4 linked regions of the Rattus norvegicus genome follow. The main gene of each other region encodes a partner of the protein of the gene in region 2 in a complex. Links are inferred from orthologs where the notes say so. Each region holds a gene or a part of one and is shown on either strand. Other genes may lie near its edges.

Evidence for each region.
Region 1: Tmem126b (region 2) and Acad9 share a complex: the UniProt entries of both Homo sapiens proteins name them as parts of the mitochondrial complex. The link is inferred for Rattus norvegicus from reciprocal best matches to the Homo sapiens genes TMEM126B and ACAD9.
Region 3: Tmem126b (region 2) and Tmem186 share a complex: the UniProt entries of both Homo sapiens proteins name them as parts of the mitochondrial complex. The link is inferred for Rattus norvegicus from reciprocal best matches to the Homo sapiens genes TMEM126B and TMEM186.
Region 4: Tmem126b (region 2) and Ecsit share a complex: the UniProt entries of both Homo sapiens proteins name them as parts of the mitochondrial complex. The link is inferred for Rattus norvegicus from reciprocal best matches to the Homo sapiens genes TMEM126B and ECSIT.

The regions. Positions count from the first base shown.
Region 1 is NC_086020.1:120,882,486-120,890,133, forward strand, and holds part of Acad9 (complex I assembly factor ACAD9, mitochondrial), read left to right. Parts: intron 1-1,074; coding exon 1,075-1,150; intron 1,151-2,678; coding exon 2,679-2,749; intron 2,750-2,973; coding exon 2,974-3,093; intron 3,094-6,014; coding exon 6,015-6,143; intron 6,144-7,648. UniProt on the Homo sapiens protein: As part of the MCIA complex, primarily participates in the assembly of the mitochondrial complex I and therefore plays a role in oxidative phosphorylation.
Region 2 is NC_086019.1:153,849,792-153,856,992, forward strand, and holds the end of Tmem126b (complex I assembly factor TMEM126B, mitochondrial), read right to left. Parts: intron 2,622-7,201; coding exon 2,438-2,621; 3' UTR 2,290-2,437; downstream 1-2,289. UniProt on the Homo sapiens protein: As part of the MCIA complex, involved in the assembly of the mitochondrial complex I. Participates in constructing the membrane arm of complex I.
Region 3 is NC_086028.1:7,485,680-7,493,965, forward strand, and holds Tmem186 (transmembrane protein 186), read left to right. Parts: upstream 1-3,919; 5' UTR 3,920-4,076; coding exon 4,077-4,079; intron 4,080-5,347; coding exon 5,348-5,995; 3' UTR 5,996-7,238; downstream 7,239-8,286. Other genes in the region: Pmm2 (phosphomannomutase 2), read right to left, coding at 3,758-3,811. UniProt on the Homo sapiens protein: As part of the MCIA complex, required for efficient assembly of the mitochondrial complex I.
Region 4 is NC_086026.1:28,889,652-28,897,989, reverse strand, and holds the start of Ecsit (evolutionarily conserved signaling intermediate in Toll pathway, mitochondrial precursor), read left to right. Parts: upstream 1-3,623; 5' UTR 3,624-3,675; intron 3,676-7,371; exon of another isoform or gene 7,372-7,478; intron 7,479-8,338.

The sequences.
Region 1 (7,648 bases), on a different chromosome or scaffold from region 2:
CCATCATCACTTCTGATTCCAGAAGTGCTGTGCTTCCTATTCTACCCCGTGCTTGGCAACTGCTGATTGCTTTTGTGCTTCCTTGGGTCTGCGTATGATGAACATTACATGACGGAACCGTATACAGTGTGTTCGTGACCCGCTGCTTTCACGTCATATTCTCAAGCCATCCTCCGTGTCACAGCATGAGTCACTGTTTCACTCTTTTGAGTGGGTAGATGATGTTCTCCTGTGTTGGCAAGCCACGTCTTGCTCATCTGTTCGTTAGGCTAGGTTGTCACTTGGGGGCCAGTGTCAGTAACACAGTTGTGGATTTCCATCATGGTTAGCCTGTAATAGAATAGAATGGTACTTTGTTGAAGAACTTTTTCCACAGTGGTTATCGTGAATAAGGTTCTACATCTTTACCAACACTTGGATGCTGTCCATTTGTAAAATTAAGCCTGAGGCTTCCCTCAGGTTCTTCAGTTGGACTCTCTGGTGGTGAGGAGAACCCCTGAGACTGGATGAGGTAGCGCAGCCTGTGTGGCTCCCAGCTGTTGACTATAGTGGGTCAGAATGCAGGGCGAGGAAAGGGGGGGCTGGCAAAGCCAGATAGTATGTAGCTGGCAGCAGTCACTAGGGCCACCTCTGTGTTTGCCTGCCACGTGTGTGCTGGCTGGAGTCTGGAGAAAGCCATGACCCCACGCTGAAGCTCAGCTGCTTTGTCTGCACAGCATGCATGCCGTTCCTGCAGTCCACCGCAGCGTTCTCGCTGCTCACAGCACTCAGCCCAGTTGCGTTTCTGTTCTTGCACCTGCGCGAGGACTGCCGGCTGACGGGTGCATTTAGAGTGTGGGCAATGACTTGCAGTCAGAGGCCAGTGATGCTGATGGAAATGCACAACAGTACCGAAGCCACCCAAGTCAAGAGTTAGAACTGCTTACTTCTGGCCTGAAAACTGGCAGGGGATTAACTCGGTCTGCATGCTGGCGTGGAATATGTACACACTTGCTTTTGCTTTCATGAAAACTGGTATGGCTGGCCCCCTCAGCCTCCTTCAGTGTCTCTCCACCTTTTCCACTCTCCCTACAGGTGGCCATGAACATCCTCAACAGTGGACGATTCAGCATGGGCAGTGCTGTGGCCGGGATGCTCAAGAAACTGATTGGTATGTGTCACTGCTGTGACAAAATTCTCTACAAAACTTTAGAAAGGGAGGTTGATTTTGCTCCCAGTTTGAATGCATAGACTATCTTGGCAAGGTGCAGCTAGAAAGCATCTCTGGCTGTGGCTGCTAGGATATGAGGAAGGTGGTCACGTTGTGTGTGAAGTCAGGAAGCAGAAAGAATGGGTGTTGGTCTCCCACGGCTTTCTCCTCTTTTATTTGGTTTGGAGCCTCAGCTGATGGGCTCCATATTCAGGGTGGCTCTTCCCTCCTCAGTTAAACATCTCTGAAAACCCCCTCACAAACATGCCAAGAGGTGTCTCCTAGTATAGAGACTTGTGATTCTAAAGCCATTCAGGTTGACACCAAAGACCAATCACAGTAGGGAAGTCAGGAGCAGGAGCCCTCTGCTGCACCTGAGACTGTCTGCGCCACTCCCACTGGGTGGGCAAGTCTGAGCGAGCTTCACCACTTGGACAGACAGCTCAAGTTAGCACCTGACCCTTGATGTAGACCAAATGTACTCCTTCCCCAGAGGCTGTGTATATTTTCAACACTAGTCAGGCATCTGTCAGAGCATAAAGGGTTGCTGCTTTGTCCATGACAAATATGACTGTTTAGTGAACTTTGTTCCATGAGTGAAAGAAAACATTAGCTCTGATCCCACTAGAGCCACAGGGCTCCTTGGACATAGCTGTAGGTCTGAAGTGCTGGAATAACCAGCCCTGTGAATCCACGCCTGTTGGAGCTTACAACAATGTAGGCACGCATTTGGGTTCTTCTCTCTATTTGATTAGTAGAGAAAATAAGGTCCAAAGAGAGTGGGGGTTACACAAGCCTGTGCATCGTGACCTGAAGGTAAACCTGCCTGCTAGGGTCAGGCTCCTTTGAACATGCCTGTGGCTCTCATCAGTGAGGCTCCTCGCCATCTAGAGACATGGGCATCGGAGCAGATGGGGACCAGCAACAGCTGGACCACACCAGAGGAAGGATTTGGAAAACATTTGCAGGCAGAGCTAAGGATGAGAGTAGACAGCTGGATGTCCCTCCCGGCAAGTAGAACCCAGCACTGTCAACAGCCATGCACGGTGTGAGGCCCCAGCAGAGCTTTGATGCGGAGTCACTCCCCGTACTGTAGTACTCTGTGAGCCCACTCCCATGGCTTACTTGGATGCCATGTGCACCCTGATTTGTGCTACATGCCTCCAGCCATCCACCCCCTTTACCTTCCCAGCATTCCTGAGAGGTGGGTACTGTGAGGGAGGCAGTGTTTCCTTCCACACCCTCACAACTGACTCAGCATTCTGTGTTCTTAACCTTTTTGCCTGCTGCCTGTGGACCCATGAGGCCTGAGAATTCCATCTCCAACCAGCTTTGAAAGTGGGAACTCTGGCTTAGGGCTTCTGTTTTCAAAGACAGAACCCTCACAGTTCCTTTTGAGTGCTGAAGAGTCATCATGTTGCCCTTAGAAATAGTTTTCCAGTAACCAAAAGCCAGTTTTATTTGTTTTGACAACTCTGTTCTTCTTTAGAACAGACTGCTGAGTATGCCTGTACGAGGAAACAGTTCAATAGGAATCTCAGTGAATTTGGGCTGATTCAGGTACTGTAGACTTTGGTTTGCTGCAGGTGGGAGAGGCTTTCAGTTGCTGTCTCTGTACCGTGCCTGTGGGCAGGGGAATGGGAAGACAAGTGCACCAGGCATTATTGATGCTGGGACAGCTAGGCTCTGATATAATTGGCTTTTTCAGAAGAGAGGTTAGGAGACTTATTTAAGTCTATGCATGTGTAAATCGTTTCTTGATTTTATTCTTCTAAACATTTCAGGAAAAGTTTGCGCTCATGGCTCAGAAGGCGTATGTAATGGAGAGTATGGCTTACCTCACTTCAGGGATGCTGGACCAACCGGGATTTCCCGACTGCTCTATCGAGGCAGCCATGGTGAAGGTAATCCCAGCAACTAGAGCGTGCAGGGAGATCATCCTTTGTGCTGCTACTCTTGGCTTGTCAGCCACCTTCCTTTTGTTAGTTGATGGCCCTTGATCTTGTGATTTGCACCTGTGCAGCTTTCTGGGCCAGCAGGGCCCTAGGGTGAAGCTGGGAGAAGGGATTCAGAGTGGCACTCACTTGAGTGTGAGTCTACAGGATAGCTCACTGCTTGCCTATATGGATTGTGTCCATTTTCTTTTCTTTTTGATTGTTCCTACTAAGTAGCCACAGGAGAAAACACAGACATCAAAACTTCATATCCATGTGAATTATCTGGGCTCTCCTGCAAAGGAATGCCATTTTTTCCCCCAGAGTAAATGGTCTTTCTTCTTGGTCAGAATTTTCTTTTAGAAAATTGGCTGCTAGATTCTGGTCTCTTTGGTCTGTAAAAGAACTGTGTTGACTTTTAGGCCATGTCCTGAGTTTCCTTTTTGCTGCTCTATCTTAATGTTCTAGGAACATCGCACATAGGAAATGTTCTAAAACAACCTTTGAGTCCAGAATAGTCCCAAGTTTATATCCCTGTCCCGGGCTTCCTCAGACCGTCCCTTCTCAAGATGGCCAGTGCTTTGCTGCACTGATTCTCCTAGGTTTACCTGTGAGCTATAACAAGGGAAGATAATAGTGCTGGTGTCTCACATGGATGCCTGCAGGTTAAACAAGTGACCCACAGCATTCAGCAGTTACCTTCACCTCTGGTGTTAGCTGTTTCCTGCTCTTCCTTCTCCAGCACAGCCACCTTTTTGCCAGACCTGTTCTCTGGGTCATTACTGTCAGTTGGATCAGGCTTGCCCTGGAGTGTGGGTAGTATGCCCAGAGTCATTCCATTAAAGAAAATGATTTTCCCTTCCCAGCAGCAATCAACTACTTCTTGTGTAGGGGTGTCCACTTCCCTTTCTCCGTGCTGGAATTTGTCCCATGTCATAGTCTCTGGGAGTTTATGTGTGTGTGTGTCAGTTCTTTTGTGACTGGAAACTGTTTCCTCCACGTCATGCACCACCTCTGGCTCTTGTACCCTTTCTTCTGCATTCATCCCTGAGCCCTGAGCAGGGCTGTGGTAAGTAGGGCTGTACTAAGTAGCTGGGTATTACACAGTCTGGAGGTGCTGGCTGTAGAAAGCTATATCTCTGAGGCCACAGACATCAGTCATTTTGGGCCGCGTAAACCTAGACGGAGCCCAGGATATGGGTGCTGCTAACATGTTGAGGTCAGGGCAGACCTGCAAGGAGCACACGCTGGTCGGCCATCACATCAGAGCAGCAGCAGTAAGCTCTGGAGCCTGGGTCACTCTGCAGTTGCCCGCTCCTAACCGTGTCACCTAGACCCGGCCACTTGATCTCTTAGTCTCCAGGCTACTGATGAAGTAGGGGAATAAAAGCACCGCTTGGAACTGTTGTGGAAGCTGCAGGAGTTGTAATAACCAGCTCAGGGTACCGAACATAGCACATGTCTCCTGCTGCACAGTTTTATAATAGCAAAGCATAGTCAGGACAAAAAGTAAAATGTCTATAAAATAAACAGCAGTGTGTGTGTACTTATCCATTCCCTGCTGCTTCTGTTTGGGGTCCTTTTTTGAGGTTGGCAAAGTTCTCTTTTGTTTTGTTGAAAATATCTTCTGTATCTTAGACTTGGGTTTCTTCTCCTTCCTCTCTCTATCTCATCTTTTCACGGTGCCTGGATTTTTAGAATTAACATTTTCTTTGACTTTAACATTATCCTTGTCTTCTACCTTGCCTTCGACACCTGAGAGTCTGGCCTCCATGTCTGGTCCTCTGTTGGCAGGGCTTACTCTGAGGTTTTTGACTGACTTCCTGAGTTACTCATTTCTGGTTTTACTTCACTTTGGGTTTCCTTTAGTGATTCTACTTCCATGTCCTGAGCTGTTTTCAACCTTTATCCCACTGTTTGTTTTCATGACTTCATTAATGGGCTTGTTTGTGTCATCCTTAGAGTCCTTGTCTTATGCTTCTGCTATATTAGAATTTCTCAGGTCTACTTCCGTAAGGGCCCTGGGCTCTGCTGGAGACATGTTTCGGTTGTTAATGTTTGCGTGTTTGCTCTGGCGTATCGAATCTGTAGTTACGCCTGGGGGTATTGTAGGTGTCGCCATCTATCTGGCCTTGCCTTTGTTGGGTAGGTGTTCTGTGCCTTAGTTTCTGTTGCCCTCTCTGGATCTCAGGACAGGATCTCTAGGCTGTAGGTTGCCTGGTGCTAAGAGCCACTGAGTCCGAGTCCTGAGTGGCCACTGAGGGTCCCAAGTAGAAATTGTTTCTAGGAATTGGTGGCTGACCTATGGGAATGGGCGGGGAGGTGGGGCTAAGCAAGGGTTTTTTTTTAAAGCTGTAATACAGATGACAACCCCACTTTAAAGTAACCTCTAGAACTCTTAAGAGAAATGCTGGAAGAAGTGGCATCCTGTAGAGATGGGCAGTGGTGAATCCATGAGGGTCCAGCTTAAGCTTAGGAAGAGGGGCAGCTGTGTGCTGGGTGAGACCCATTTCATTCCCATGTCCACAGGCTAGCCCTAGATCCAAGTGTCATTATCGTAGGATGCTCAGTAGACAGTGGTCATGAGAGCAAGATGGCAGACACATGAGAATGGCAAGAGTGGGCATACTTCCTAAGAGGGGAAGTCTGAGTGAATAACAGCCAGGCGTTGGCATGAGAGGCATGCAAGTCATGTTAGGATAGAGCACACAGGCTGGTGTCGTCTGTCCTGCCTGTGCTTGCCTGGAAAGTTCCGAGGTCAGGTTCTCCACACATCCTCCAACTGCATCCCAGGCAGCTGCTCCCCATAGCTTAGGTCTTGCTCTTAGGAGGGAGTGACTAGGTTGTGGAGTGCTCCCACCAGGGATTAACCTTGTCTGGGTCTGTGGCAGGTGTTTAGCTCTGAGGCTGCCTGGCAGTGTGTGAGCGAGGCTCTGCAGATCCTTGGGGGCTCAGGCTACATGAAGGACTACCCTTATGAGCGCATGCTACGTGATGCCCGCATTCTCCTAATTTTTGAGGTAAGTGTCCCCTACTGACTGACTGTACCCCCTGTATACTTCCTCAGTGATGATCTTGTACCCCCTGTACACCCCACCCTCCAGCCTTCCTAGTCCTAAGAGAGGCTGCTGAGTGTTCAGAAATGAAATGGCCTACAGTGATGTAGAGCAGGCTGTGTCCCCTGGTTGAACCCTCCTAATATATCAGTGCCCCTCCCCCCCCTGCTCTGTAGAGGGTGTTTAGACTGGAGAGACCAAAGAGTCCCCTCCATCACACTCCCGAAAGCCCATCTCACTGAGCCCTCAGCTTCCCAGTGACTCCTGTAGTTTGCTAAGTTAATGCTGGCTGGGCAGGTTTGGACCCATGTGTGAGAGACCCAGCATCCAGTCCCAGCTCCTGCTACTCCCATCTCACCCTCTGCAGGCTATAAGGCCACTGTCAGTAAATCGAGGTGGCTCAGTAGTGTCCACGGAAGACTCGCTCAGCCCTGCCTTTCTCGTTTCTTGTTATTGCTTCCATAGATGTATAAACCTGCAGGGTCAATTGAGTTGAAGAATAGCACATAGGAAGGGCATTGGGACGCCATTAGGGCCTGCCTGCCTGGAGCACACATGGAGGCATGGGAATAGCTCCCAAAGGGAGCTCGTGTCTCATGATGAACTTGATGACCCTTGGCAGAAGAACTGCCTTGGGGGGCAGGGCAGTTTGTGTGGCAAGTAGGCAAATGGCACATTCTGAACCCAGATAGGACTTTATGCTTAGCACTAGGTAAACAAGGGGTAAGGAAGTATTTGTGGACACATCAGTCACCCTGCTCATAATTTGGATACGGTAGTAGAATGTGCCGGAGTTGGATGTTGGCGGTTGAATGGCAAAGATAGAAAAGGAGCTGGGTCGTGGATGACCTTGACCAGTACATGGGTTTTGGAAGCCTGGGGAAACTTTTGATAAGGGATTATTGTGGTGGTGCAGTGTTCTCCTGGGAGGAAGGGACAAGCAAGATGGATAAGTCTTGACAGTGTCACCATGGCCATGCGAGGTGGGCACTTAGGCAGGAAGGGGGTTTGAACTGCAGTGTGGTCTGGCAGTGAGGCGAATCCTTAGACTCTTGCTAGCTCCAATGGAAGGTCTCCTCAGTCTTTTAGTCCCAGCCAATATCTCTGCCTTATCAGTCAGCCACAACCTAATAGCAGAAGGGTTAGCTTTTTCAAGAGCAAGGCATGTCTAAGCTGTTTGTCTGGTGGCTGCCCTCTATTGGCAGAGACTCTACAGAAGAGACCTAGGTTCCTCTAGATCCTGACAAGGTGGTGTGGTCAAGCAGGGTCTGCTCTCAGGACCGTAATTCCCAGAAGGTTGGGAGAGTTATGATGTGAGGTGTACTTTGTTCAGAGCCGGGGGCCATACCCCAGATCCTCCATATCCAGTTTTCCTGCCAAGGCAAACTTCTATCTCCTTGGTGCCAGTCCAGCTGACTGCAGGATGGTTCTGGCTGGCAAGCCTAGGCCAGTGGCCTACAGTTGTTCTA
Region 2 (7,201 bases):
GGTTAGTTGGCTTATTCTCATTGGTGGTACACAGGAGAAAGGATCTGGTCAGGTATTGTTCAAGGGGCTGTTCTTGGCTCAGTTAGACACTTTCGTCATCCAGCCCTTCACCTGGCCTTGGAGAATCACTGGGAAAGGGCTAAGTTGGCAAGTCCCCCCAGAAGGGAGGAGGAACTGGGTGGTCAGGCAGGGTCAGGATGACATCTTGTGGTTGTTCTCAGGATTTACCACAGGGAGGGGTAGGGGGGGTCTTTTTGAGAACAGTTGTTTTGTTTTGGCTAGTTTCCATTAAGCCTGGTCACTCTGACCACCAAGACCTTGCTCCTGTATTCCCAAAACTTCTTTCTTACAGCTTTGTTTCTCATATCTATGAAACTTTATTTCTTCAAAAACATTTTATACAGTTGTTGAAATGTTTGTCAAGATCCAGAGAAAAATTATTAAGACCAATTGCTCTGCAACTTTGTAAGTGACTAAAATTCAACCACTTGTGTTGGTAACTGGAAGCACATAGGAGCTAATACAAAAAGAGCCCAGAAAGGGGGAATAAAATCCCTGAAAATTATTTGGGAACGTGGACCCTTTCAGATGGACCAGTAAAAAAACAAACTGTAAGCTGGACACATTTTGGCAGAGCCAGGTGAGTGGACTCTGCAGCCACTCTTGTAGTACTGAGCCAGGTGTGTTCAAGGCTGGCCTTCCTGTGTGATCTGACCAGAATTCAGAGCCCTCTAGCTCTGCAGCCCCTTCTGCTGCCCATCTCCAGCCCAGTGGGGAGGGGAGTCTAGTGACAGCTTGAGTTGGGCATAGGCACTGCTACATGAGCCTGGAGCTTGGCTACTTCCACAATTTGGTTTCGGTTTCTGTTTTTCCTCACAGTGGGAATGACCCACTATAAATTGAAGTAGCCCCTTTATGGAGAACATTTAAAACAGACTATACATTCCTACCTTTGAAGAGACAACCCTGTGTGTTTAACATTCTTGGTTATCTTAGTGTTTATTTGTGAGCACAAGGACTTCCATGCCTTCTCCATTTTTTTAAATTTAACTTTTTATTGATTCTTTGTGAATTTCATACCATACACTCCAATCCTACTCATCTCATTGTCCTTTTGTACACACCCTCTTCCCTTGCAACCTCCTGACAAAAGAAAAAGAATCTCGTTGTGGAGGCTGTAGTGTGTCCTGTAGTACACCCTTTGTCCACACTTCTTTACTTGCAAACGTTCATTACAATGAGTCCTGCATTCCAGCAGTTCACAGATGGGGCAGATGATGGCGTGGACCATCTGGGCCTGGTTGGTAGCTGAGTTGGGCAGTCTGCCAGCTTCCTTACACCCATACTATTCTCTTGAGCATTGCCCCAGCTAGCTCATGCAATGTTGCAAAGGGACAGAGTCAGTTCTCCTGCTCTTATGCCCTGGCTCATGCAATCCCAGCAACCAGGGCCAGCTCTACCTTACTTTCTGGGCTTCAAGGCCCATTCTCTTAAATGCTGCAGCTGGTGAAGTGTAGGGCCAGCATTCCTGCAATCACTCCTTCTGGGCCAGCTCTCCTAGGATGCTCAGGTGAGGGGTGGAGCCTGCACAGCCCTCAGGAATCAACATGGTCCCAGGCAGCAGCCTGGATCAGAGAAGTCCACTAGGTTTTGGTGGTAACAGACCCCCTGCTGCTGCAGTGCCTTGGACCCAGACATGGCCTTAGGTAGCAGTATTGGTCAGGACCTCACCATAGCCTTAGGTGGCATCACTGGCTTCTCACCTCAGGCTGTACCTCACTACCCTTAACTTTCCAGTTCTGCTTCTCTTTCTCTTCCATCTCTCCACCACTTACCTGCTCATCTTAGTGGCACCTGGGGCTCTGGGGTTATCTCAGGAGTGCTATGCCCTGCCCATGCTACAGTGTGACACCAGGCAGGGGACATGTTGGGAGTGGTCTGCCCACCTGGGCCCTGTGGCACTTCTAGATTTTCCCACATTTTCTTTTCTTATGACCTTCCAATTCCTCCTTTAACATTTAACTCATGTTACTTTCCCCTGAAACATCGTCTGCCTAAATAGTTAAGAGTTATAGTCTCTGTTCCCTCAAAGTATGTTTATCTCAGGCCATCTTATAATATGTGTTCATATTTCTTACTCCTCTTCTAAGAAGTCTTTCTTTAGGGATCATTTCTTATTATACACATTGTGTGTGACGCATACCAGATACTCACTGTATCTGCACAGGTCAGATCTGAGGCTCCAAACCCATTCCTATATAACATGAGGAAAGAAAGAAGAAACTTGTGTTTGTTTAACATTTATAACATTTATAATTACTGAGGATCTCATAATGCTAGGTGAAAGTAGCAGAGTTCCTTTTCACTTTTACACCAGTGCCAAAGACCTTTTATAAAGAGGTTCATTCTACTGAACTAGCCTCCACTGATTCTTGGGTTAATCATCAGGCACAATTCTTGCATATGCTTTTTCACATACAGCATAGTGATATAAGCCATTAAACACTCCAAATATTATCTGAAACAACAGAGGAACGGCCATTGCTTTCATCCCAGTTTGACAAAGGAGTAACCAATGGAGCATAACTCTTCCCTTTGGCGGCACTGGAACAGTGTGATACCTGAAAATGGAAAAGAGTCAGAGATGTCTCCGGGATCCCATAGCAAATGCTACTGATTTCTCCTAGTCATTTCCAGTATATGTTTATCATGTAGACAACAACATTAAATGCTAGTTACCTATTTTGTTTTGGTTAGCCCTTAGCTAAAGAAAAAATAGAGTTTATCAATACTACCCCATCAATAAAATTAAAAAAAAAAAAAAAAAAGGAAGGAAGGGATAAAAAGAGAAAGGGCAAAACCATCCAGGATCGAAAAATGGAAATAGGAACAAAAAAGAAATCACAAGGGAGACAAGTCTGAAGATAGGAAACCTAGGAAAAGAGAGCAGGAGTCATAGATGCAAGCATCACCAACAAAATACAAGAGATAGAAGAGAGAATCTCAAGGGCAGAGGATACCATAGAAAACATTGACATAAGTGTCAAAGAAAATGCAAAATGCAAAAAGCTCCTAACCCAAAACATCCAGGAAATCCAGGATAGAATGAGAAGATCAACCTAAGGATAATAGGTATAGAAGAGAATGAAGATTCCCAACTTCAAGGGCCAGTAAATAGCTTCAACAAAATTATAGAAGAAAATTTCTCTAACCTAAAGAAAGAGATGCCCATGAACATGAAGAAGCCTGCAGAACTCTAAATAGACTGGACTAGAAGAGAAATTCCTCCCATCACACAACAGTCAAAACACCAAATGCACAAAATAAAGAATTTTAAAAGCAGTAAGGGAAAAAGATCAAGTAATATATAAAGGCAGACCTATCCGAATTATACCAGAGTTCTCACCAAAGACTCTAAAAGCCAGAAGATCCTGAGCAGATGTCATACAGACCCTAGGAGAACACAAATGCCAGCCCAGGCTACTATACCCAGCAAATCTCTCAATTAACATAGATGGAGAAACCAAGATATTTCATGACAATCAAATTTATACAATATCTTTCCACAAATCCAGCCAGACAAAGGATAATAGGTGGAAAACTCCAACACAAGGAGGGGAAGTACACCCTAGAAAAAGCAAGAAAGTAATCTCCTTGCAACAAACCCAAAAGAAGAGGGCCACACAAACATAATCCCACCTCTAACAACAACAACAACAACAACAAAACAGAAAACAACACTCATTATTCCTTAATATCTCTTGATATCAATGGACTCAATTCTCCAATAAAAAGACATAGACTAACTGACTGGATACATAAACAGGACCCAGCATTTTGCTGCATAGAAGAAACATACCTCAGTGACAAAGGCAGACACTACCTTGGCGTACAAGGCTGGAAAACAATTTCCAAGCAAATGGTACCAAGAAACAAGCTGAAGTATGCATTCTAATATGAAATAAAGTTGACTTTCAACTAAAAGTTATCAGAAAAGATAAGGAAGGAAAAAGGAAAAGGAAAAATCTATTAAGATGAACTCTCAATTCTGACCATCTATGCTCCAAATGCAAGGGCACCCACATTCACAAAAGAAACTTTACTAAACTTCACTAAATCTCAAAGTACACATTGTACCTCACACAATAATAAAGGGAGACTTCAACACCTCACTCTCAGCAATGGACAGATCATGGAAAGAGAAACTAAAAAGAGACACAGTGAAACTAACAGAAGTTATGAACCAATTGGATTTAACAGATACCTATTGAACATTTCATCCTAGAACAAAGGATTATGCCACTTTCTCAGCACCTCTTGGTACCTTCTCAAAAATTGACCATATAATCAGCCACAAAACAGGCCTCAACAGATCCAAGATGACTGAAATAATCCCAGGCATCAGAACACCACTAAGGCTGGTTTTCAATAACAACAAAAACAACAGAAAGCCCGCACACATGGAAGCTTAACAAGACTCTACTCAATGACAACTTGGTAAAGAATGAAAGAAGAAAGAAATTAAAATACTTTTTAGACATTAAGGAAAATGAAGGCACAATATACCAAAACTTATGGGACACAAATGAAAGTGCTCAGTGCCTCCAAAAAGAAACTGGAGAGATCATACACTAGCAGCTTGACAGCATACCTGAAAGCTCTAGAACAAAAAGAAGCAAACACACCCAAGAGGAGTAGAGGCAGGAAATAGTCAAACTCAGAGCTGAAATCAACCAAGTAGAAACAAAAAGAGCTATACAAAGAAACAACAAAATTAGGAGCTGGTTCTTTGAGAAAAATCAATAAGATAGATAAACCCTTAGCCAGACTAACCAGAGGACACAGAGACATTATCCAAATTAACAAAATCAGAAATGAAAAGGGAGACATAACAGAAACTGAGGAAATGCAAAAAATCATCTAAAAAAGCCTATACTCAACAAATCTGGAAAATCTAAATGAAATGGACAATTTTCTAGACAGATACCAGGTACCAAGGTAAAATCAAAATCAGAGAAACCATCTAAACATCCCCATAACCCCTAAAGAATAGAAGTCTCCCAACCAAAAAAAGTCCAGGACCAGATGGGTTTAGTGCAGAATTCTATCAGATCTTCAAAGAAGACCTAATACCAATACTCTTCAAACTATTCCATAAAATAGAAACAGAGGGAACAGTATCCAATTTGTTCTATATATCCACAGGAACTCTGATACCTAAAGTACACAAAGACCCAACAAATAGAACTGCAGACCAATCTCGCTTATGGATATTGATCCAAAAATACTCAATCAAATTCTCAAAAACTGAATCTAAGAACACATCAAAACCATCATTCACCATGATCAAGTAGGCTTCATCTCAGGGATGCAGAGATGGTTCAGAATATGAAAATCCATCAACATAATACACTATATAAACAAACTCAAGAAAAAAAAAAAGGCATGATCATATTAGACGCTGAGAAAGCACTTGACAAAATTCAACACCCCTTCATGATAAAAGTCTTGGAAAGATCAGGAATTCAAGGCCTATACCTAAACATAGTAAAAGCAATACACAGAAAAACCAGTAGCTGACACCAAATTAAATGGACAGAAATTTGAAGCAATCCCACTAAAATCAGGGACTAGAGAAGGCTGCCCATTTTCTCCCTACCTATTCAATATAGTGCTTAAAGTTCTAGCCAGAGCAACTAGACAACAAAAGGAGATCAAAGGGATACAAATTGAAGAGAAAGAAGTCAAAATATCTATATTTGTAGATGATATGGTAGGATATTCAAATGACCCCCAAAATTCCACCAGAGAACTCCTACAGCAGATGAACAACTTCAGCAAATAATATAAACTATTTACAATAGTCGCAAATAATATAAAATGCCTTGGTGTGACTCTAACCAAGCAAGTGAAAGATCTGTAAGACAAGAACTTCAAGTCTCTGAAGAAAGACATCATAGATCTCAGGAAATGGAAAGATCTCCCATGCTCATGGATTAGCAGGATTAATTTAGTAAAAATGGCCATCTTGCCGAAAGCAATCTACACTGAGTTAGAAAGAGCAATTTGCCAATTCATTTGGAATAACAAAACACCCAAAATAACAAAAACTATCCTCAATAATAAAAGAACTTCTGGGGGAATCACCATCCCTGACCTCAAGCTGTATTACAGAGCATTCGTGAGAAAAACTGCATGATATTGGTACAGAGACAGGCAGGTAGATCAATGGAATAGAATTGAAGACTCAGAAATGAACCCACACAGCTATGGTCACTTGATCTTTGACAAAGGAGCTAAAATCATTCAGTGAAAAAAAGCATTTTCAACAAATGGTGCTAGTTCAACTGTTGGTCAGCATGTAGAAGAATGCAAATCGATCCATTCTTTTCTTTTTTAAAGATTTATTTATTATATATAAGTACACTGTAGCTGTCTTCAGACACAACATAAGAGGGTATTGGATCCCAATACACATGGTTGTGAGTCATCATGTGGTTGCTGAGATTTGAACTCAGCACCTCTGGAAGAGCAGTCATGCTCTTAACCACTGAGCCATCTTTCCAGCCCAAATCAATCCATTCTTAGCTCCTTGTACAAAGCTCAAGTCCAAGTGGATAAAGGACCTCCACAAAACCAGATATACTGGAACTAATAGAAGAGAAAGTGGGGAAGGGTCTTGAACACATGGGCACAGGGGAAGTTTCCTGAACTGAACACCAATGGCTTAAGCTCTAAGATGAATAATTGACAAGTGGGACCTCATAAAATTGCAAAGCTGTAAGGCAAAGGCCACTGTCAATAGGACAAAATGTCAAGAAACAGACTGGGAAAAGATCTTTACTGATCCTACATCCGATAGAGGGCTAATATCCAATATATACAAAGAACTCAAGAGGTTAGACTCTAGAGAACCAAATAACACTATTAAAAATGGGGTACAGAGCTAAACAAAGAATTTTCAATTGAGGAATATCAAATGGCTGAGAAGCACCTAAAGAAATGGTCAACATCCTTAGTCATCAGCAAAATGCAAATCAAACAACCTTAAGATTCCACCTGACACCAATCAGAATGGCTAAGATCAAAAACTCAGGTGACAGCAAATGCTGTCGAGGATGTGGAGAAAGAGGAACACTCCTCCATTGTTGGTGGGATTGCAAGCTGGTACAACCATTCTGGAAATCAGTCTGAAGTTTCC
Region 3 (8,286 bases), on a different chromosome or scaffold from region 2:
GAGGTGAAAGAAAAAGAATTACGGAGAGTATTTGAGAGGTGGGGACAGCTATGGATTCCAGGAGGCATCAAACAGGCCTGTGTGCCATTAGACCAATAACTGTAAGTATCTATGTAGGTGTTTCTGGACGTTTCTGTCCCAGAGAGAGTTAAGTAGCTGTGACAGACACTATGTGGCCTGTAAGCCTCAGCATACCCTCTGGGGTATAGCTTAGTAGGAGATGCTCACCTAGCTTGTCTAAGGGGATGGGCTCCATCTCCACAACCAGCAAATAAAGGTGTGTGCGTCTGCCGTGTACAGAAGAGCATGCCAATCACTGCACTATGGTAATGAATACTAGTGAAATGACACTGATCTGATCATGAAGGACAGCATCTTTGACCTTCATGCTGAGACACAAGTGAGTGGAGTAACAGGAGGATCCTGGTTTAAAGTCACTTGGCAAGAGGAAACATGAAGTGACAGGGACAGGGGTTCTCTGGTCACGATTTTTGTCAATGATCTCTCTGTGAGATTTTTCAGGATGCCAGAGTTGGAAAATGATTCATGGAGGTTTATGTCCTTTTGTTCCCTAAAGCTTATCTCAAGTTTTACCCTTTACGGAAGAAAGCACCCAGGAAGACAGACTTCTATACAAACAAGGAAATGTGCAAACCTCTGAGTCCATGCTAATCACATGGGATCCACAGAGGTCATATCCCGTTACAACAATCACAGTGAAAGGTGACTTGTTCTTCCTCTTCTAGACTGCACTGTGATTAGTGATGTTTGACGATGCACACGGATGGAGGGAGGGAAGGCTGATGATACATAGATCTGTTGCTGGAGTATTTTAATTGCAGTACCCAGCATATAGGAGACTTCACTTCTAAGTTAGTTTTCTTTTATTGCTGCAATTGACCGTGATCACTGCAAGCATATCGTTCCAAATGCTGAAAGCACATTCTGGTCACCAGGCTCTTCTTTGCTATCCAGGGACACAGAGGCAGTTTCCCTGTAGCTTATCTAGTACCTGGAGTGGCCTCCGTCCTGGCACTGGAAAAGGGAATGACAATTAGGACACTGAACAGTGCCCTGAAGTTCAGGACCTTGAACCACAGCTGCTGTAGGAGCGGAGGCGTCAGGGCTTTACTAGTTTCAATTTCCTTATGTTAGAATGGTGGTAGCTGGGTAGTATATGCCTTTATTCCCAGCATCTGAGAGGCAGAGGCAGGTGGATCTCCATGAGTTCGAGGCCAGCCTGGTCTTCAGAAATAATCCAAGGACAGGCAGGGCTACACTAAGAAACCCTGTCTTGAAAAACCAAAACCTACCCAAAGAAACAAACCAAACCTCTATGGTTCCTGGGCCAACTGAAGAGCAGTTTCTATAATAATTTTATTTTTATTATGTGTATGCATGTATGTGTGCCACAATGTACAAGGGGAGGTCAGAAGACAGCTTGTTGGAGGTGGTTCTCTCTTTCCATCATGTGGACTCCAGGAATTGAACTCAGGTCCTAAGGCTTAGGGGTGACCACATCTCAATGGCCTCTGTAATCAAGTTTTATTAGAACATAGTCACTCTTTATATATGGTCAATGGCTGCTTTTGCACTAAAGTTGAGTAGTTACTGCAGGCCATATGCAAAGACAAAAGTACTTAATATATGACCCTTGACAAAATACGAATTCTGATTCCCGGCTCTAGACTACTATTGGCTTTTAAGTTCTGAAGGTTTGTCTCAAACACTTTATATAGCCTAGGCTAGCCCTGAACTTTCAAATCTCCCTGAAGGGATTAAAACCCTATGCCACCTGCCCATGTAGCTACTGGCTTGACTCACCAGTGTGTGTTGGGCAATGAAGCTAAGTCAGGAAGGGCTCTGGAGAACTGGTAGTGGAATGTCATCACTGGACAGATCACACTGGCTCAGAAAAGTAGAATGAGGGACAGAAGAGGGTGGGTTGTGGTTCAACTACAACTAAGGATGCATTTAAAAGCTTTCTGAAAACCTACTACTTGGTAAAGTATGTATACATACAAATGTCTTCTACAGGACATGAATTATTTAAAAAACAACAACAAAGAACAAAAACGTTGGTTCCAGGTGTGGGGGGATATTGTTGACCAGAGAGAACTAGGACCCCAAAATAACACGGGCTATTGAAATTGCTCTTGGTCGCCCACCCTAACTAAATGGTAAATCCATATTGCTGGAGACACTGCACACTTCAGTTTCAAGACACAGAGACATCAGGCTGGAACTGGCATGTTTAGCTTTCATAGTGCTGGAAGGTGCTATGTAAAGCACGGTGGAAGGAAAGTCATTTGGGGCATTTCCCAGCCATGGGTCCTGCGAGACAGCACTGACTTGCTGGGCAATGTGTACTGGCTTGTGCAATGGTGGAATGACTGTTTTGGGGGTAGCAAAATCACTTCCTGGTTGAATATAAGGCCGATTCCACAGGAAGGAATTAATGCCTCGTACAGTACTTGGTCAAAAGTCTATGACTGTGGAGCTCATAGGCACTGTGGGGAAACCTATGGTTGTTGTTTTGTTAAATGGAAATCTTGTCAAATTGCCTTCTAAATATCTATGTTTATACCCATAATTAATGCTGCTCTCAACCCTGGTAAGAAAAGTTTCTCTTTGTAGTGGGCAGTGGTTAATGCAGACTCATACCTGGTCAAAGTGCTAAGAATAAGTAGTACCCTTTATCAACCCTGCCAAGGCTCGGGGGCAGAAAGAATGTATGAGTTAGAGGATGGAGAGAAGTGTGGTAAACGAAATGCTGTCTTCTGGACATTATGAATTCAGCAACCATGGTTCCCTGTACAAGATCAAGCCAGTTAACATTTCAGCATGGGTGATATGTTGCCTATCACTTGATGGATGGCTGTGTGTGTGTGTGTGTGTGGTGTGTGTGTGTGTGTGTGTGTAGCACTAACTGGACTTAGAGAGGTATTAAAATAAAAATTTTAAAAAGGACATGAAAACAGAAGAGGGTGTGTGGGTCAGTGTTCTCCATAGGGAGCACAGGAAGGTTGGGGGGGGGGTGAATACAATCGGATACACTGTACACATGTAATTGCAAAGGAATAAAAAAATTAAAAAAAAGATAGACTGACATATCTAAGGTTACACACACTACAGGGGCTTCTGGGACACAGTCCACGAAATCTAAAAGGGGTGGGGCAGAGGTGGCGACACCCAAGCTATTTGAGCCTACTCTCATTTGTATGATTTCTGTTCAATCATGCATTTGTGCATAGGAGGCAGAGAGAATGCCATCACCAGAACGAACCCACACAAACTTATCTTTGGCTATAACAAGTTCGGTTAGCGGAAGGAAGTCCCACCGGACTTTCTAATTAGTCTCTGTGATCCTCACCTAAGCATCACATTTAAAGGGGCTTCAAGGACTCCGCGAAAGACATTTGCTCAAGGTCAGACAGCTGAAAACCTGCCCTTGATATACTAGAAGAGACAGTCAGAGGTGACAGGGCTGGGGAGGTGACACAGCAGGTCAGAGGGTGGAGGCTGGAGTTCAATCCAGGACACCAGACCCGAGGAACCCTAGAAGAAATTCGGACCCGAACTTTTCGACTCTGAACACGTTTCCTACTCGGAAGGCTTTTCTGGCCCCCTCTTCCTGCGCATCCCACTCAGGACCCCGCTCAGGACCTAGGTCTACTGGTTCCCGGACAGTCCTTACGGCGGTCTGGGGCAGCAAGGGCTCTGCCCCACCACCAGGAGCTCCCCGGGCGCCGCCTACCTGCCGCGGGGCAGTCAAGGTCCCATCCATGTCAAAGAGACAGAGCGTGGCCATTTCTCCAGTCAGAAGACTCGTTGGCACCCGGAACTCCACCCGGAACTTCCGGGTCCGCTCCGAGCCCCGGAACTCCAAGGCACGATGGGAAGATTCTCTAATGGCTTACGGGACACTCGGGGCGGATACAAAATTTGAACTACAGTTCCCAAGCCGTAGTACTTTTTTTTTTTTTCCTTGAGTTAGCGCATTAACCTCCCGCGCATGAGCCCTTCAAGTTTCCGGGGACAAGGTCGGCGTACTTCCTGTAGCAGGCGACAGGCTCATGGTAGGAATGTCAGGTGGTGGGCGGTAAAGGAGGGACCGCACTTAGCGACCGGGTCCGGCCTACGACTGGCAGGAAGGATACCTGGGCTGCCCACTCGGGAAATCAGTCGGTGGAAGGCCAGAGTGTATTTTTACGTGCTATTTCTCTGCCTTGTTTCTTTCCCTTGGGTCACATGGACGGTCTTCATCGTCCCAGTGCGCACACCAAGTTCAGCGCTTAAGAACCATGTCTCGGGGTTGGGATTTAGCTCAATGGTAGAGCGCTTGCCTAGCAAGCTCAAGGCCCTGGGTTCGGTCCCCAGCTCCGAAAAAAAGAGAGAGAGAGAGAAAAAAAAAAAAGAACCATGTCTCCCTAGCGTATTCTGAGGTTTTCTTTGGAAAGATGAAGGATGCACAGTTAGTGTCCTCTTACTCTGAAGCCCAGAATTTGCTCACTCTTCTACTTATTCCAGACAGTCATTGTGCAGTGTGTTGAGGGCCTCCGTGCCTCACTTCTCTGCTTCCCAACCAGGCTAATTCATGCGAAGAAATTCTCTTGGCGTGTAAGGCAGTCAGAGGACTGCAAAGGTTCTGTGATAAGTACCCCATGGTTTTGTTGTGTGGGTTTCCGACACCGATTGATTTACCCTTTGAGGAAGGAAGGAAGTTTTAAGTGCACTGTTGGCCCATCTCTGTTGAATGGCTGGACGTACAGGTTTTCTATGTTTATTTGGACCTGCTCGGGGGAAAGGACCTGTCTGAGTGTCAGAGACTGCTTTTGTTTCCTTGCACTTGGGGCCAGGGCCAGGGGTGGGGAGGGCCTAGGGTTTTTTTGGTGTTGTTGGTTTTTTTGTTTTGTTTTGTTTTTTAATGCTTTTTTAAAATTTGTTTTAATCGTGTGTGTGTTTAGTTCGTGTGCATTTACTTGTGCTATGGCATGTAGGGGTCCAGGATGTCCTGCTTGAGTAATTTCTCTTCCTCCACCATGTTGGCTTCAGGGATCAAATTCACCCGGTTTGGTAGCAAGCCCCAGTTCTAGATGGGCTATCTCACTGGCTAGGATTAGGGTTTTGTTTTGTTTGCTTGCTTATTTAGTTGTAAAAAATGGGAGAATGGTACTTATCTAGAGTAGAATTCCACAAAAAATAAAGCTTCTGGCTTTATCACTTACTTTCCTCTGGCAGTCACGGTGTCTTGCCAGGGTTGGTTGAAGCCTTTCTGGGAGATGCTTTGCCTTGTTCATTGTGTGATTAGCCTGGATGATTTCTGAAAGGAACCTCTCTCTTCCAGGCTTTCCTCCTTCGAGCTGTGCCAAGGCTGCAGGGGCCCGCTGCATGGAGGAGGCCTCTACAGCAACTGTGGTGCCGTGCTGGGCAGGGGGATTCCATAAGGTGGGTGGGGAGCAGGTCTCCCCCCTCACAGGAGAAGCCACCAGGCACAGAGACTGAAAAATTCCACACAATCTACCGCTTCAATGCCATCAGAGCACTTGGGTTCCTGTCTCGGCTGAAGTTGGCACAGACAGCTGTGACTGTGGTGGCCCTGCCCCCAGGCTTCTACTGCTACTCACAAGGCCTCATGACCCTCAGCTCACTGGGCCTTATGAGTGGGATTGCCAGCTTTGCCCTGGTCATGCTGTGCTGGATGAGCCACTTCTTCCGGAGACTGGTAGGCATCCTCTATGTGAATGAGTCAGGTACCTTGCTTCGAGTGGCCCACCTGACCTTCTGGGGCTGGCGACAGGACACATACTGTGCCGTGTCAGACATGATACCCCTGTCAGAATCCGAGGAACGGGTCCAGGATGTGTTCGTGCGTATCCAGCAGTACAGTGGCAAGCAGACCTTCTACCTCACCCTACGCTATGGCCGAATCCTGGACAGGGATCGTTTCTCACAAGTATTCGGAACCCTGGCCACACTCAAGAACAGCAAGTAGGCCGTTGTAGCCCTGGTCAAGAACATGGATGAGACAAAAGCTAATACCAGGGACTGGGCTGATGCTCACTTTGTAGACTGCTTGCCTAGCATGTAGGACTTCACATCCTGGGTTCAGTCCCTAGTACTGCATAGAACCAGCCATGACTGTGCCTGCCTGTACTCAATACTGGTGACATAGGCAGGTGGAGAAGTTCAAGGTTGCCTTGGGCCAAAAAGGAAGGCATTAACCAGCTTTAGGAAAAAGCCCTTAGTGGAACATTATACTATATAGGACATCCTGTCAGATAGTGGCCAGAAGTCTCTATGAAGAGGCAGTTCCTAGAGGAGCACTATGCCAAGATCGCCGAGGCAGCCCGCTGCTGTGAAGCTGCAAGGTGGGAGGGTTGGCAGAGGAGCATAGGATGTGGAGCCTGGGGACTTGGGTTCTGCTGAGCCTTAGTTCCTTGACCTGGGACAGGGTATTGAGTTCCTGAACCTTGAATTGCACTCTGAGATGGAAGACCCTTCCTCTCATGAGGACGGATATGAAAATAATAATGGCTGTGGCTGTGGCTTTGTGACAGAGCTCTTGCCTAGCATGTGTAAAGTCCTAAGTTCCATACCAGCACCATGAACAGGCAAAACCAGTGTGTAAGGTAAGCAGCCAGAAGTTACAACGTAGAGCAAGGCTTCCAGGCTGCCACTGGGGTCCATCACTGGTCCTCAGGCTCACCAGCTGAATGGCCACAGCTAAAGCCCAGAGTGGACTTGTTTCTCCCGTCAGGAAGTCACTGTACACCAACTGAGGTAGGAGCAGCATCCCCTGAGACTACGTGATCACCAGGAGATCTGGGGTGCTCACACTCAGCTTTGCAGGGTCATTGGGGCAGAGGGACTCTGTCCAGGCAATAATTCTTCATCTGAGGGACACTGTGTGCTGCTTTTCACAATGAATAACAAGCACATGCTTATTAGGTGATTGTACCTGGATTAAAGGAAAGCAGCCCTGGTCTTTGTAATTTGTCCATCAGAATGCTTTGTTTTGTAACTGTTTAATAATTTCCTTCCCTTAAGAAATTTTCTTTTGGGGTGGAGAGATGGCTCAGAGGTTGAGAACACTGATTGCTCTTTCAGAGGTCCTGAGTTCAATTCCCAGCAACCACATGGTGGCTCACAACCATCTGTAATGGGATCTGGTATGCTCTTCTGACATGCAGAAATATATGCAGAACACTGTGTATATAATAAATCTTTAAAAAGAATTTTTCTTTTAATTATTTGTGTGTGTATACTGTGCACATAGGAGATTGGAGGACAGCCTTTTCCAAGTCAATTTCCTTTTATCATTTGGGTCTCAGGGATTAAATTCAGGCTTGGCAGCAAGTACCTTCACCCACTGAACCATCTTGCTGGTCCTCTATAAAATAAGCAGAGCATGAACACGGATAACTATTAATAGAAGTGTGTGTGTTGGGTTGGGGATTTAGCTCAGTGGGAGAGTGCTTGCCTAGCAAGCGCAAGGCCCTGGGTTCGCTCCCCAGCTCTGAAAAAAAGAAAAAAGAAGAAAAAAAAAAGTGTGTGTGTTGAGGGGTCCACCACAAGGCCTCAACCAGGCAGGGGTAGTCTTCCTCAGACGAGGGCATACCAGTTAGCTATCCAGTATGAAATGGGTGGCCCTGAAAACATGCAGGTACAGAGTGAGCGAGTTATATTTAGAAGCATATGCACATACACACAGCAATATTTAAGGAAAGAAGAGGCCATGAATTTGAAAGGGCAAAGGAGGATATAGGGAGTTTTGGAGGGAGGAAAGGGAAGGGGAAATATGCGTAATTATATTGTAATTTCAAAAAGCCCCTTAAATGTGCATATCGAATCATAACTTGTCATTGTCCGGGCACGCAGCGCAGCCTTGTGTTGGCAGCCATGGCCGCTGGCTAATTCCAGTACTTCATTACCTCAGGTAGGACGCAGGCACTTGGCCACCGCTGCCCCTGCCTCTGTCTTCTCCCCACCGCCACCTGTTGGCAGGCGGCAGCCAATCTGTCTCTGGATTCGTTATTCTGACATCCATGGAGGGAATCATGGTTTGTTTCCTAGCGTTAACTTGGTGTTGTTCAGAGCTTAATTCACGAGTCAGTGAAGTGTTCGTGGATTTGTTCATGACTGGACTCTTGGGGTGTTCTTGAATGTGAATGTATGTGTTTACCAGCAGCAGGTCAGTGGACATCATGGGTTATTTTCACCCCTCGCTATGTGAGTAACACTGATGTGAACGGTACAGAAGTGCTTGCTTGTGTCCCTGCTGTG
Region 4 (8,338 bases), on a different chromosome or scaffold from region 2:
GTAGCATGTGTCTTCAGTGCCAGCAAGAGCAAGTTTAGTTCCCAGCACCCATGTGGCAGGCAGCTCACAACTGCCTGTAACTCCAGTTTCAGATCTCACGCCCTCTTCTGGCTCTTACAGGCACTGCACACAATGCACATACCTATATGCAGACACACAGAGACACAGACACACAGACACAGACACACACAGACACAAATAAAAATATAGGGGACTGGAGAGATGGCTCAGTGGTTAAGACCACTGACCTGCTCTTCCAGAGGTCCTTAGTTCAATTCCCAGCAACCACATGGTGGCTCACAACCATCCCTCTTCTGGTGTGTCTGAAGACAGCTACAGTGTATTCATATAAATAAAATAAATCTTTAAAAAGATAAAAATATAAAAATGTCTGGGCATGGTAGCACAGGCCTTTAATCCGAGTACTTGGGAGGCAGTAGGTGGATCTCAGTGAGTTCAAGGCCAGTCTGGTCTACATAGCAAGTTCCAGACTAGTCAAGGATTCATAGTCAATAATAGTAATAGTAATAGTAATAGTAATAGTAATAATAATAATAATAATAATAATAATAATAAAAACTTTTAGACCTCTTACCCCCTCTTTCTCTTTGTTCTTTGCTTCTCTTTCCCCCTTCGCCATGCCCCCCTTTCTGTACCCATGGCGGGCCGCCTTTCTGCTCTTCTACTCTTCTCTCATTAAACCGCCCCACTTGGAAAAAAAAACTTTTAAAAAATTAACCATCGGGGTTGGGGATTTAGCTCAGTGGTAGAGCGCTTGCCTAGCAAGTGCAAGGCCCTGGGTTCAGTCCCCAGCTCCGAAAAAAAGAAAAAAGAAAAAAAATTAACCATCAAAGGCAAAGAGAAAGTCGTAACAGTGTAACTGGCTCCCTGGTCCCACCCAGCTAGCATGCCCTACCAGTACAGTAAATGGCAGAAGCCATAGTCCAAAAGGTCATAGAAAGGTCAGTAGCATGCCCATCATCTCTCACTGGACAGCCTTAACTAGGCAGTAAAAGGTTGACAGAGAGACATCAAGGCCCTAGATCTACCTCTGCCTTGTCTGGGTGTCTTACTCTGCTTCATGCCACTATAGTGAAATGCCCAAGACTGGGTAGGCTTATAAAGGATTCATCCAGTTTAATGTATGTTTTGGAGGTTAAAGGCTCAACACTGACTGATGCCTTCTTGCTGGCAAGGTGCCCAGTAAGTGCAAACAAAGCATTGCGTGGTAAGAGATGGAGAATGAGAACATGTCCTCTGGGTCCTTGAGACACACACACTTTTTGAGACAGGGTTTCTCATTATGTAGTTCTAGGTGGATTGGAAAAGACTGGTAGACCAGGCTGGCCTTAGCTCTAAGAGGTGTGCTTGCTTCTGCCTCTTCTCTTCATATGAGGACACCAGTACTCAAAAACTGGTGACTTTCGTGTCTCGCGATCACCCCTCAATGGCATCACTTCACTCCATCCCTGGGTTAAGTTCCTTCTTCTGGAGTCAGGGTCTTATTAGCCCAGGCTCCCCCATGTCAAGTGACTCTGAAGTGTTGACTCTCTATCTCTCGAGTTCTAGGATGACAGGCGGCATGTGCTGGGTTTGCTCACTTTCCTTTCCTTCTCTTTTCTTTTCTTAGCTACAGATACAGTTTGAGGCTAACCTGGGCTACATAATAATAGGTATCCTAAAATCCTAAAAGTAGCTAACATCCTAGAGACAGTTAATCTAGTGGCCAAGCACAGTGGCATGGGATGCTTATGTGTGGTCGGGTCTAGAGCAGCCCTCTCTGCAGTAGCATGTCTTATATCTGCAGATCTCTTCGAGTTCAAGGCCTGCTAGAACATAGTCCAAGAATGGAGTTTTTGTGAGGGTTCTGAGTGCTCGTAAGGAAAGAAGATATGACTCCTGTGACCTCCATTTCTTCAAGACACAGAATTGTTCTTGTGCTTCTGCCCAGGTGTAGTGAATGGCAGTGCATTTATTACAGCCCTTGTTATTCATGTGCCTCTAGGGAAGACATGTTTTTACTACGCATGGCCTTATAATTGAACACCTCACCCATGCGATGCCTCTTAACCCTCAGAGTATAACTTGCCTGAAGCTCTGAATTAATGGTGGCTATTGAAGGAGACTTTAGTCAGCCTCAAAATGAGGCTCCACTCTCCCAGGTTTACACTGCCAACTGGAGCTGTAAACAAAGGCTAAACTGGTCTGCATAAAGAGTTCCTGGCTAGCCAGGCCAAGCAACACAGCAGGACCCTGTCTAAGCAAAACAAAAGGACTGGGGCTATACCTCAGTTGGTAGAGTAACTGCCTACAATGTCAGAGGCTCTGGACTGTACCCCAGCACTACAGAGACAATGTGTGGTGGCATAGGCCTGTAATCCCAGGACAAAAGAGACAGGAAGATCAGATAAGTCAAATTCAGCTACACAGAAGTTCAAAGCTAGTCCAGGCTGCACAAGACCTTGTCTTAAAAATGATTACTTATGAGGTTGGCAGGTTAGCTTGGTAAAGTGCTGTCAAGTCTGATGGCTGAGTTCAATCCCTGGGACTCCCAGGATAGATTATAGCAAATTATCGCCACATGCACCACCCGCAAAATAAAACAATGTTAAAAAAAAGCCTATATTCAATCAATATATGTATATGTGTATGCGTCTGTGTATGCATATGAATAATATATCTATATGTAATCGCTATTATCTATACACACATACAACAAATCCAGGGCCATCCAATCATCTACACATACACTCCATAGGCCTCTAAGCTCTCAGTGTGGGTGGTCTGAAGAGTCAATCTAGACTCCCAGTTGGGGAGGGAGAGAGGGGTGTCAGGAATGCATGTCCTTTCTCACAGTAGCCCTTGTTGTACTTATATGGCCATTTCACATAGATGAATTCAAACTTCAAAAATTGTTACTTAGGGGCGGTAAAAGTGCTCATAGCCAAGCCTGATGACCCAGGTTTCATCCCCAGTACCCACATGGAAAGAACATTCCCCCTAAGTTGTCCTGACTTCCACACGAACGTGCTCACACAGATTTACTTACACACATAACACACAATGAAAATAAACATAACTTGACATTCTGTTAAAGCTGTTGGCAGTGTTGCCCACCTGAAGTTCCAGCTATTCAGGGGGCTGATCCCTGAGGATCTCTTGAATCCAGGGTTTTGAGGCCAGGCTGAGTACCACTGCAAGACCCTGACTCAAACAACTGGACCAACCAAACTAAAAAAACCCGTTTAGTAAAAAGAATAAGAATAAATCCCGGGACTTAGGCTGTGGCTTAGCAGACAGCGGTAGAGTGCTTGCTTAGCACGCAAGAGGCCATGGGCTCCGAACCGGATGTGGTGCTTCCAGTCCGTAACAATAATTTACCATCACGGCGGAGAAAACTGGACCGGACAGACGTAGGGGAACCCGATCCAGCGCCTCCGCACCGGTACCCAAGGCTTCTAGAGTTCGGTGAGCAGCAGGGCCTGCTCCTGAGGAGAAACCAGTGTCTTCCGCCTTCCTATTGGTGGATCTCCACTTGAGGGCGGGACCTATCGTCACAGGTTTTTCTGATTTGCTGTCACCTTCGACTCGTAACCGGAAGCTGTGTGGCTCAACATGACGGCGCCCAGCGGTCCCAGCTAGCCTGCTCGGGTGTGCGGGTGGCCGCGTGAGTAGGTGGGTCGCGCGTGGGAGGGCTATGGGACCGTCTGGGATTGGGGCGTCCACTTCCAAGCCTGGTAGAGCCGGGGAATATGACCTTCAACTCGACCTCAGTCAGGGCACTGTGACCTTTTCAGGTGCAGGCTTGGGAATGAGCAAGGAAAGGTTGCTGGGCACCTCTTGCTGCAGGCGTTCGTTTCACAGATGGGATAGCGGACTCGGGCAACGTACATTGTCTGTGAGGCAGGCATTGGAACCTTCCAGCCTCAGAGACTCAAAATCGTGCCAGCCCACACGCATACATACACGCTACCTCGCTGTTCCGATTTATCCATGTCTTGTAGAAACTTTCTGCTTATTCACACTCAGTTGATCGGTGTTGGGCATTTACAGTGTGCCAAGCACTGACCCAGTTGGTGGAGACACAACAATGAGAAAAACAGATTTTTTAAAAAAGTACTATCTAGGAGAGCCAATTATTGAGCAAATCACACACACACAGAACAGGTAATCTCGTGATTTCAAAACAGTGATTGTTGCAAGCAGTGTGTTTTTCCCTGATTCAAGAGTCTTTATGTGTCCCAAGCTGGCCTCGAACCCATCATGATCGTCCTCCTGCTTCAGCCCCCGAGTTCTGGATTATAGGCATACACCAAAACAGTAAACAGTAGGCAGAGGGTAAAACAAGTTCAAAGCCTGGGAAACCAATAAACTTGTCTTGTTTCAGAAACAGTGTAGCTGGTGCTACAAGAGAAAGGGGGAGTACAGCAGGTAGAAGCCATCCGATGTGTATTTACTTTGAAGTTTTATTTTGGTTATGGTGTGGGGGGTGGGACACATGTGCCATGGTGCATGGTGCAGGTCAGAGGGCAGCTCTGAGGTTTTATCCATACACCTTAGGTTGGTTCCAGGGTTTGAGCTCAGGTCATTAGGTTTGCTTTGTTTTGACAGCAAGTTCCTTTCCCAGCTGAATTCTCTCTCCCTGCTCTTGTTTAAAGTTTAGACAGGACCTTTCTGTAGCTCAGACTGCCATGGAGCTCACTAACGATCTCCAGCTGTTTTGATTCTGGAGGCCATCCTCCTGCCTCACACTCCCCAGTGCTGGCTTTACACACACAACACCTATCTCAAGCACATTTTCTTTTTAAAGACAGGGTCCCACTATGTAGCCCTGGTTGGTCTGGAACTTGCTGTCTGTATAGATTGGTTTCACCTCAAACTCAGATCCGCCAGCCTGTGTCTCCCAAATGCTGGGATTACAGGTATGTGCTATCACACCCAGCATTCTTGTGTGTTCCTGTGTGGGTACAGGGATGTATGTTAGTGCATGTACACATGTAAGCACATGTATGGAGGAAAAATGTCAACCTAAGATGTTGTTCTTCAGGAGCTGTCCACCTTGTGCTTTGGGGCCTGCTGCAGGGAGCTCAGGGCTCTGTTACAGGGAGTTCAGGGCTCTGTTGCAGGGAGCTCAGGGGCCTGCCTGCTTCTGCTTTCTCAGATTCCTCAGATTGCAAGTGCATGGCACCTCACCTGGCTTTGTAATGGGTGCTGGAGCTCAGGTCCTCATTCTTTCAGGGCAAACAGTTTACCAATGGATCCATCTTTCCAGCACAACTGGTTTCTGTTGTTAAGAGCTTCCTTTTGCAATGGAGGGAAGTAACTAGCAGGGCAGAGAGAAGGCAGAAAGGTATGCAGGAAATCACTGTGGAATGGTATGGTGGCCTGCAAGGGGATAGGTTTGGAAGTAGTCTCCAGGACTATCTATTGACTGAATAGGGACATAGTGACTGCTGAGCAATTCTTACATTGGGGCCTGAATAACCAGGAAGGGTGGTGCTACTGGCTGGCCTCCAGAGAAGCACAGTCAGCAAAGGTGTTGTCAGTGTTCCCTGGATGGAGTTTGGCATGGCTGGTTTGTACCAAAGTTATACTTAGGTATGGAGGCAAAAACATTAGGGAACCATGAGCATAAACACTAACAACTCTAATGCATGAGGAGCCACCTATGGGTGTTACAATGCAGATTCTCATGCAGTAGACCTGAGTTACAGCCAACATTCTACAGGTCCTGGAACACAATTTGCAAGGTTTTAGAGTCTTTTTATCCAACTATACCAAGCAAGTACCTACCTTGAGCCACACCATCAGCCTTTCCGTGGGGGATTCTAGATAACACTGAGTCTCAGTTCCAGCCACTCACTAGGGGAATCTAGCAGAGGCTCACTGGGCCCAGCAGCTCCCTGGAGGAGTCTAGGCCAGGTCTATAGAGTCCCAGCCTGAGTCCAGTCTAGTTACATTTCCTAGGCCAGCAGCTGTTGATAAAAGTTGTCAGAAGTATGGTCATGTTTCCACTAAGCCTGAATCTACAGGTTTTGTGCTCCCAGGGCATTTGTCTGCACCCTTGGCAGTGTTGCAGATAATGCTGACATTGAAAGGCATCTCATGATTGGCTGAGAAGTAGGCACGGGTGCCAGGGAGAAACCCAAGGATGTTAGCAAGGACTATAAGGGAGGGGACGTCACTGTCTGATACTTGGAAGTTGACACCTCAAAGTCATTGCCTTCAAAGTGTTGAGCACAGCGGTGCATTGGGCGGGCATTACTGACAGGACTAGGGCAGCCGTCAGGCTGCTGAGGAGGAGGAACCAGTGTGTAATCATGGCTTAGGGGAAGCTCTAAGGATAAAGAAAGCAGGGAGTGGAGGGAGATTTGGGGCCAAGATGGGAGATACTGGAAAAAGAGTTGGATTTTTTTTCTCCTTAAATAGGTTCTCATATGTAGCCTGAGCTGGCTTGGAGCTCACAGGAGTCTGGCTGCCTTTACTCCTGAATGCTAGGATTAAAGGTGTGCATTACTGTGTCTGGCTCAACTAGAGAAGGTTGTTTGTTTGTTTTTACTTAGAGAGAGAGAGAGAGAGAGAGAGAGAGAGAGAGAGAGAGAGAGAGAGAGAGTGTGTGTGTGTGTGTGTGTGTGTGTGTGTGTGTGTGTGTGTGTTCATCCACTGGAGGAGCGGAAGTCAGGACAACTTGTGGGGTCAGTTCTTTCCTTCCACTCTGGATTTCGGGGATGGAATTCTGGTTGTCAGACTAGCAGCAACTGCCTTTGTCTGCAAAGCCATCTTGTCACCCCAAAAGGAGTTTTGTTGTTGTTTGGTTTGGTTTTCTTGGTTTTCTTTTCCTGATTTTGAGACAAGTTTTCCTGTAGCCCAGGCTGGCTTCATACTTGCTGTGTATCCAAGGCTGATCCCACCTTCCACCTCAGCACTGGGATTTACAGGCGTATGCACAACACCCACCTCCAGAAAGTCTTAGTGGTGGCAAGAATGATCCAACCTCTTCCTAACATGTTCTCTGTGGCCTAGCTACCCTGATACAAAAGCAAACAGGTATACTAAGGAAACTACAGACTAGTGCCTCATGAACACAACTGTAAAATTCGCTTGCAGTGGGCTTGCGAGCATGCAAAAAGAATTCTACATCTTGCCTAAGAGAATTTATCTTCAAAATACAAGGTTAGATTATTTGTTTTTGTCTTTTTTTTCTTTTTCCAAAGCTGAGGACCAAACCCAGGACCTTGTGCTTGCTAGGCAAGCGCTCTACCACTGAGCTAAATCCTCAACCCATTTTTTTTTTAAAAGATTTATTCATTTATTATATATAAGTACACTGTAGCTGTCTTCAGATACACCAGAAGAGGGCATCGGATCTCTTTACAGATGGTCGTAAGCCACCATGTGGTTGCTGGGAATTGAACTCAGGACCTCTGGAAGAGCAGTCAGTGCTCTTAACCACTAAGCCATCTCTCCAGCCCTGCAAGGTTAGTTTAACATCTGAAAATTTATGTATATATTAATAGAACAAAACCCTAAAATCACATCATTATTTCAGGCAATACAGAAAAGTATTTGAGAAAATCCAACAGTTACTCTTTTCATTTGTCTGAAATGACATCTCACTGTGTAGAACAGGCTGGCTATTGTGGTCCCTGCAAGTGTCACGGCCAGCAGGGAGCGGTCCAGATGAAGTTAAGAATGAAAGTTGGGTCAGCAGAACTTAGCTGGTACTGGTTCCAAACTTCTGGAGTCTAATGCCAAGTGACTTATTTCTAACACCTTTAAATACAGTAAAACTTTGGGGATAGGTTTCCATGTAACAATTATTACAACAGAGCTTCAGGCACAGCTGCATCGAAACTCCCTTGGAATGCACATCTCTAGCAAAGCACCTTTCCACAAGAGTGGCTGAGAGCAGTAGCAGTGTTCAGGACAAGGGCCCAGGGAAGAACAGGCAGAATAGCAAACTCTTTTGCAAAATACATGGGACCTCTTTCACGAGAATGGGTTCTCTGGACTGAGACAAGGTGCTCACTATGCCCAGTGAAAGAATAGATTCTTTTGCCAGAGTTTAGGAGCCAGACAAGGCTGTGTACTCTGGCCACTTCTCAGTGCTGTCAGTGTTGAGCTGCCAGTAGTAGCACTCAGGCAAGAGAAAGAACAGAGCGGCCATGGAGACAGTGCAGAGAGTTAAGTACTTCCTGCAGGAGCCTGGCCACCTGAGTTCTATCTCAAGTACCTAAAGTAAAAAGAGGGGACTGGTGAGATGGCTCTTTGGGTAAAAGTGCTTGCTGCCAAGCCTAAGGACCTGAGTTCAATTCCCAGCACCTACGTGGTAGCTCAC